2 linked regions of the Drosophila melanogaster genome follow. The protein of the gene in region 1 interacts with the protein of each later gene in a pairwise test. Each region holds a gene or a part of one and is shown on either strand. Other genes may lie near its edges.

Region 1 (5,366 bases):
TTTGGATGCGAATTCGAATTTGGATAGTTCTGTATGAGTGGGTAACCTTCCGGCAGCGGCATTTTTTTTTTTGGCAAAGGCGCACAGTAGTGGCTTTGATGGTCATTTGAGTTTTATTATTTATGACAAAACGTGAAACACATTTGGAATGTCCCAGTGAGGTGACGGAATGGCACAATGGGAAGAGGGGTTGGGTTGGGTTGGGTTGGGTTGCTCTGGCGACCACAGTGCACTCACACAGTGGCACTTCGATTGTTTTTGCATAATTTTCAATGCCCAAAATGTGTATCTGTATAAATAGCTTGAGTTGAGTGTTGGCCACACTTGTGGCATAAGTTCTAATTCGAACGCTGACATTTTGGTGGCATGAAATTTAAGGCTAGATTTACGATGTAATTACCACTGCAAATTGTTCTGCCCAGGAGCGAAGTCAACCGCGAATTAATTAATTACTGACTTCCTATTTATTTTTAAATTGATTTTTAAAATTCTATTTCTGTTCTTTTTATAATTTAATCATATTTAACTTTTATGCAGAATTCCACTGCTATAATATTTTACTGCTCCTCCCTGGGCGCTACAGATGCACATATTTTGCAATTAGAAAAGCTTTCCGGTTACTTATTCGGTTGAACGAGACAAACTTAATTAAAAAGATTTTATGGAACCTAGAGCATATAAAGTCGGAAAATAAAAAAATCAGTAAAGGCCTCAACGGAATCGAAGAGAATGATGAATAACATCTTGGTCTTAATAGGTAATTCAGGCTGAGTTAATAATAAAGTCATAAAGTAATCGTGTTTTAGGCTTCTCGAGTGTTATGCTCGTTGCTGGCTTAGATGATATGAACTGTTTTTCCCTGCAAAACGAAATTTGTCCCAATGCCAACATTTCCTTTTGGCTATACACGTAAGATTAATGGTTTTATACTATGATTTTCATTATCTATCCGTATCTGCAGAAAAGAAAATCAGGAGGGAACTAAGCTTTCAGTTTTTGAACTTAATCGTTTTGAATTTTATCACCACAAACCGCTCAAGGTTCTGATCCATGGATTCAACGGGCACCGCGATTTCAGTCCCAATACCCAGCTACGTCCGCTGTTCCTGACACAGGATTACAATTTGATATCCTTGGATTATCCAAAACTAGCCTATGAACCCTGCTATACGGAAGCGGTGCACAATGCCAAATACGTAGCTCGCTGTACTGCTCAGTTGCTACGAGTACTCCTCGAGAGCGGATTGGTCAAAATTGAGGATCTGCACCTAATTGGCTTGGGCTTAGGTGCCCATGTCGCAGGCTTCATTGGGCAGTTTCTTCCGGAACACAAGCTGGAGCATATTACAGCCCTCGATCCGGCAAAACCATTTTACATGGTCAAGGATCCGGCTCTAAAGCTCGATCCCACTGATGCCAAGTTCGTGGACGTCGTGCACACGGATGTCACGATGCTTGGCTTACTGGATGCAGTGGGTCACGTGGACTTCTACTTGAACATGGGTGTATCACAGCCCAACTGCGGACCCATTAATAAGAGTTAGTAATATTAAGGCCATCTGCTTTACCTATATTTTTCATTTTCGTTGTTCTGACTTTAGTGGAGACTCATTTCTGCTACCATAACCGAGCAGCAGACTATTATGCCGAGTCTATTTCGTCACCTTCTGGATTCTATGGCTTCTACTGTCCCAATTTTAAAAGCTTCGCAAAGGGAATTTGCATTCCTGATAAAAATATAGAGCTGATGGGTTTTCACGTGGATCCGAAGTAAGTGCCAGCACCTATTTTTCCAGATCTCTTTTTATCTATTTAATTGCAGAGCCAGAGGCAGGTATTTTCTGGATACCAATAATGGTCCTCCTTATGCCAAGGGAGAGAACTTTACCTCAATAAGCCGCCAACTAAAAGGTCGAACTTTCGTGAACGATGATATTATAGATAAATTGATTGGAACGTAGTAAGGGATGCTATCCAAATCTTAAAACGAATATTTTTAATTCATAAATAAACATTGAATAATGTACCACATAGAGGATTATATATCTCTATTTTCGTGTAAAAATTTTTGCCATTTCAAAATCATATTTCGGCCTGGTCTAAATATTCAGGTGAAATACTTTCGACACTCTGACATGTTCAGGTGAGTTTGGCCCACCTTCGCAATCAACAGGAGGAGCCAACCCGACGACCACGTCAACAACTCGTTGGGCCAGGTGACAGATGCCAAGAAAAAGGAAAAGTTGCCGCCACTCAGTTTCAGTTTCAGCGTGTTTCGGTGTGCGTGAAAATAAATGTATATGGAAAGCAATTTCACGCGCCTCTGGCTTTTCATTCGAAACGAAACATAATGGAATTTCTTGGTTGCGAGGGGCGGCAAAACGAACGAATCAAATCACAACTAACGCGAAACTAGCAGCCAAACAAGTGTTTGCATTCCGTCGCCAAGAAGCGACGACAACCGAGGATGTGACTCGGAATCGAATCGACTCCAAATCAAAGCAGGCGACGGAGTTTGATCGATAAAAGTCAAACGACGGAGTTAGGAGCGCCCAAAGTTTTGGGGCTAATCGGTATCAAAACGGTGTAAATAGTTAGTTGGTAGTCAGTGGCAGAGTAATACGTAGAAAGAACGGTCGGGTCAAGGAGCTATCGGCATGGAGGAGCTGCAGGATGCCAGCATCCACCATATGACCGCAAAGGTAATCGCGGCCATCAAGAACACTAAGAGCTACGAGCCCATCTACAAGGAGCTGCAGAAGCTGGTCTGCAATCCCAGCGTAGATACTCACGATATGCGCAACACCCTCGAGGATGCCATCAAGAGCGCCGGACTGGAGACGGAGATCCGGAATATTGTCTACAACCTGGTCCGCACGCGGCTGTCGAAAACAGATGACAAAAACCTGGCCAACAAACAGGGAGCGGTGGGTACAACTTTTAAGATACAATTTATCAAATTTCTTGTAATTGAATTTAGAATAATTGGAGTGGTATTTAAAAGTATTCCATGCTGCTCCTATCATTTTCTACTTTTTGACTTTATTGGCAAAATTTTATTTTATACCTTAACGTTTATAAAACAAATTATAATGATACATAATACCGGAAGATCTCGAAGTGCCACAACTATAGAGTTAGCCTTAGGGGTATTAGTAGTATGTAGTGCTAGGGAAAATGAATTAAATAGTTCTTTACTTATGTCTATATTTTCCAATAGAAACCCACCGTTAGTGATCCACTTGGATATTTAAAAAGAGCTGGTGTGCTTTGGGATCGAAGGGTTAGGAAGAGTTTGAATGCCATGTGTACAGAGCTGAAGGTTCCATTGCATGGACAACCAAGGATCAGTGCTGATCGCGAGGACTTTATGGCCAAGTGGAACGAACTGAGCAACTACAATATGGGTAGGCATTTCGTAAATATTGAAGCTAACAATTAACCATGGTTAAACTTCTAGATCTGGCCAACTATAGGCCTGTTTACGCTCCAAAGGATTTACTGGAGGTGCTACTCTCGCTAAAAGGACCCGCCAAAACCACTGAAAATACAGAGTAAGTTTTGGTTTAAATCAGTCAGGTAAATAATCATTTTGCTCATTAGTCAAATCCCCCAATGGGAGTTCTCCCACATTGCACTACCTGTGAAAAATCTTTTCGAGCTGCGTGCCCACTACGCGGATCTGCTGCGAAGTGATAGCTATTTGGGAGTGCCGGATCTTACGGTTCAGTGCCAGAGGATTCTGGAGGCCAGGCATGCGCCCATGTGCCAGCAGTTTCTGAAGAAGGGCTGCACACCCGCACCTTATAGGGGAGCTCTCTGGGCTTCGGTGCTGGACAGCAAGCTACATGACTACGTAACTACTGATTTTGGGATCAATAACCTCATTATACATCTCTATACCCCCGAAGGATATTGAGTACTGGCAAAAGCTGCGCAATGCCGTTTGGACTACGGATCACATCGTTGACAAACTGGTCTTCAAGGACATTCAGTTGACGGCCTCCAACGACGACCAGTACTTTGTGTTCGAGGACGTGCTCTACCAGGTGCTGCTCTGCTTTTCTCGGGACACCGATATCGGTGGATGTGTGGAATACGAGACGTTTCCGGTGAAGGGCAAGACCTACGAAGGTCCTCCATCGGGTGTGGTGCCCTTCCACGGCATCTGCATGTTTGCCGCCCCCTTTTGTTATCTGTATGACTCGCCGGTGAGTCTATACTATACATTCCGGGCCTTCTATATCCGGTACTGCCATCGCTTGACCACCATAAACACGCATCCTCAAGGGATTGTCAGTCTGTGCCTGCTCTTCGAGAAGCTGCTGCAGACATACGAACCGCAGTTATGGTCCCATTTCCGAGAGCTTCAGATACAGCCGTGAGTTGGGATTGGGTTTTTCGTTAGACAGCTATTTCACCCATTTCACGACATATCTTTCCTTAGCCTGCGGGTGGTCTTCAAATGGCTTATGCGAGCGTTTTCCGGACATTTGCCTCCCGATCAATTGCTGGTCCTCTGGGATCTGGTACGAAATACACCTCCGTTCTTATTGGCAGTACTTATCCCTTCCTTTTCAGATCCTTGGCTTTGATAGCTTGGAGATCCTTCCTCTATTCGCCATCATCATTCTTAGCTTTCGAAAGGAGAGCATCATGCAGGTGGCCTCGTTGGATAGCATCGAAGCGATTCTGGCAGACTTGTCCTCTATCAAGGTGCTGCCCCTAGTGCAACTAGCCCTAAGTCGAGACTAAAAGTGTGGTTTTAAGTTACAAAATTAAAGTATTAAGAGTGTTTGGAAATATAACATGTATGCAACTGGATAAACTATATTTAATATAAAGTCGTAACATTATTGAATAACTAATTGCGTTCAACAAAATCCAGCCAAACGCCGCCTTTTAAGGCTGGCATAAAGTAGGTATCATCAATTTCATTATCCTTGCGAGTTTTGGGATTAACCTTGATGTCGAAGTTTCGCACGATTTCCACCAGGGCAGCTTTGATTTGGGTAAGTGAAAACCGCATACCTACAAATTATGCATAGATTTTTTTTAGTAACTTTAATTGTTTCAAAAATGATGTTACCCACCGGGGCAAATACGTGGTCCATCGCCAAACCCAAAGAATAGACCCTGATCTCTGTACTTTTTGGCTCCGCCATTGATGTTCAGGAATCGCTCGGGCTTGAACGATTGAGGTTCCTCATAGTATTGGGGATCGTGGTGCAAGGCGTTCACAGGAATGATGACTACATCCCCGGGTCTCAGTTTCACGCTCACTCCGTTTTTGTTCGTCAGTTCACAGGGCTCAGTTACCACCTTGCGGGCAGCCAGAACAGGTGAGAAAATTCTCAAAGTTTCTG
Region 2 (3,132 bases), 8.7 Mb from region 1:
ATGTTGTGACTCATGTCAGGTGAAAATCGAGATGATATATGGGCAGGGAACTATCCCCAAAGATGTTAAATGGGGGGAGGGGAGCATGACTCTTCACCCCGATGAATCGAATGGCCTGGCACGCTGACTGATGCCTTGATTGTCAATCTGCTGACATACAAATGAGAATGCATATATATGGTATATATTATATATTAATGTGCTCGGGGAGAGGTGTGTGATTCAGGCTGTAATTAGATTGGGATCTGCAAAGTAGCTATCTGTCTCGGATATGAGCTCATAAATATTAGACACTTTATGATGTGGTTGGCTGATTCGGTTTTCTACCTGGAACTGTTACCTTATTTTTGGGCCAAAAGCTAATTAACAGTCAAGGTCGGCCAGGGTTTTATTACCACTTGGCTATGCCCAGAATATAGTACAAGTTCTGGACAGCTAAGAACCGTGGGAAAATAGCGGCAAGTGCCTGTAAATCATTAATTTACACGAGTGAATAGTTTATGACGCACACTAAGCACGTAGTGCAAATACGTTTTATTTTTATTTTCGCCAATAGTTATTTGCATGGTTTTAATAAGTGGCTATCGAGTGAAGAGCACAACGCGTCATTATAATCAAGTGCATTTTAATTACAGGGCGCGCTTATGTTTTGCATTTGGCTTAGATTATTTCCGCTTATTTTAAGTAAACAACACGTTAATCGTCATCAAGAAGACGCTGACTGATTGAGAACAAATGCAAGCCCAACGAACTGTGACTACATCCCAAACTCACTTCCCTCGGATTGGTAATTCAAGGATTTCAGAATAATATCGGATTTCCCAAGGACTATGCTGATTATTTTGCTCAATTCCCTTATGTACCAAGCACAATTTTTCACATTTAATTTTATTGTTCCGTCAAAAATCCGCTAATTGCTATCATGGTGGCTGGAACTACTGCCCAATCCTTCATGAACTGGGCGATTCTCGTGCGGATCGGGCTTGATATGAAAGTTGGCATAGCCATAGCGATCGCGCTCACGCTGAGAACTGAACTCCACCTTCTCGATGCTGGACAGCGGACTGCCCGTCGTCCTGAGCCACTCCTTCATCACATCCATCTCGGCCGGACGACCTTCGATGTAACCCTTCACGGTGCCCCTGCTGGAGTTCATGCACCAGCCGCGAAGACCCAGTGTCTTGGCCTTTCGCAGGGCGTGTCGCCGGAAGTTGACGCCCTGCACGCGGCCAAATACCTCGAATTCGCAGGAATGGACATTATGGGTCGCCATTGCGAAGAAGTCTCTACTGTCGTTTCCCAATATGGGGAAATTTTTGGGACTTTCGACGAAATCAAAAGGGATCCAAAATTGATTTATTCTATATTTTCGTTACGTTTCACATTTTGAACAAAAACGAAAAGTATATAACACAGGCTAGGCAAATTTAAAAAACATACACAAATTTATTACTAACGGCCAATTCCAATTTGACACTCATATGTAAATATGTAATTCTACATTTATTCTACATCTGTAAAAATATTCATTATTTGCCTTTTGATTGTGGCATACTTTTGGGTAGTTGAAACCAATTGATCCATAAATAGTTTTTATTACTAGAAAATAACTTTAAAATGTGTTTTATCTCATTTTTCTATCTAAGTCACGTCTACTTTATATTTAAGCATAGCATTACTTTTCCGATGATTAAATTCAAAGAGTTCATTTCCACACACAACTTTATGGTGGAAGTCTTATGAAAGACTGTGCTAAATACCCTTCCATTATTATGTTTTTATTTAAATAATTTACTAGTGATTAAATTTCCAAAATATCCCCTGCACCAAATCTTATGTCCAGCCCACTTCCAGGTTGTTTTCTTGATTCTGGTGCTGCAACCAGTCTTGCAGAGGTTGAAAGTAGGTGAGCAGTCCATCTATGCTGATCTCCGGCTCACCAAGAAGAACCTTTAGCACCTCCCTATAGTGAACCGAAGATCCCAGGGACATGGCGCGTTTCAGAATCTCTCCAATGCCTCGCTGATCGGATAAATCACACATGTCCAAGGGTTTCCTGGGATTGCCCATTTCAAACTGACCAGTTATGGTGCAAAAGTGTTTCAACAATTGGAACTGCAGAACAATGCTCAGGAAGTTGCTGAAAATCAACATAATTTAATATTCATATCTTCTAGTAAAGATTTAATATTTTTACCTGGCATACTGGTCATCTACCTCCATGAGAAGCTTAGCCGGCACATCGAACTGTTCATTGGTTCTTTTCGTTGGAGCAGCCGCTCCGGTATAAAGTTCTGTTAACCTCCAATAGGCCTCATTATCATCCGCCTTAATGTGTCCTGCCAGGACCTCGACTCTGTAGCGATCTAGTACATAGAAGACGGGTAGCAGGAACACAACCCTCAAGCCCTGAATATACAAGCGATTCAAACGTGCAGGCAGTTCCTTCCACTTGTTATCCCTTAGCATTCCCAGTTTTCTAAGGAATCGCGGTGAACTGGCTGCCATGGAGAAACATTTCCCGATGGCATCACTGAAATTGGGAAAGGGCTCCTCTTGGAGCAAAGTTGGTTGAATCGATGCAGCTCGATAGTATTGCAAATCCGACTGGGCCTCAAACATATTGAAGAAACGCTCCTCATCGTTCAGTGGACAGTAGGTGAAGTTCGTCCTTGGTAGAGCATAGTATCGCCAGGCTTTGTGCCAGCAGCGATCATCATCATCGGAGGACACTTTCTGGGCATATGTCCAAAGTGAGCTAAAATGATAAATATAATTAAAACTGTAATACATCTGATCAAATAACTTACTTCTCCAATTGCGGAAAACCCAGAGCTCTGAAGTACTCGGCCACATTCCAGAAAACTCTTTGAGTGGTACTCAATCCACGACGGTGCAGCTCCTGGGTAATATTGGCCAATCCGATCTCCGGCGACGGCAAATCCACATACCATTCCGCCTCAACCCGCCGGAAAGCATTTCCAATAAAGACCTCTGCCAAATGCTGGGGATAAGGTCTGTTTCTGGGCACCAAATGCTCCCCATGCATCTTCCTCAGTGATCCCCTGACATGGGCATGAAACTGAAGAAACAGCGGTCTCAAGCCATGCATTATCCTGTCTAGTAGATTCA

Evidence for each region.
Region 2: the proteins of CG7742 (region 1) and Acyp interact in a two-hybrid assay, tested with the Drosophila melanogaster proteins (2 studies listed by BioGRID).

The regions. Positions count from the first base shown.
Region 1 is NT_033779.5:5,211,878-5,217,243, reverse strand, and holds CG7742 (uncharacterized protein), read left to right. Parts: upstream 1-2,162; 5' UTR 2,163-2,657; coding exon 2,658-2,927; intron 2,928-3,083; exon of another isoform or gene 3,084-3,092; coding exon of another isoform or gene 3,093-3,158; intron 3,159-3,220; coding exon 3,221-3,407; intron 3,408-3,460; coding exon 3,461-3,554; intron 3,555-3,603; coding exon 3,604-3,856; intron 3,857-3,911; coding exon 3,912-4,381; intron 4,382-4,447; coding exon 4,448-4,529; intron 4,530-4,581; coding exon 4,582-4,755; 3' UTR 4,756-4,849; downstream 4,850-5,366. Other genes in the region: CG14034 (uncharacterized protein), read left to right, coding at 730-757, 807-909, 962-1,539, 1,602-1,770, 1,823-1,961; Cyp28d1 (cytochrome P450 28d1), read right to left, coding at 4,865-5,031, 5,094-5,363.
Region 2 is NT_033779.5:13,910,342-13,913,473, reverse strand, and holds Acyp (acylphosphatase), read right to left. Parts: upstream 1,392-3,132; 5' UTR 1,274-1,391; coding exon 911-1,273; 3' UTR 822-910; downstream 1-821. Other genes in the region: Ance-2, read right to left, coding at 1,834-2,140, 2,198-2,758, 2,811-3,132.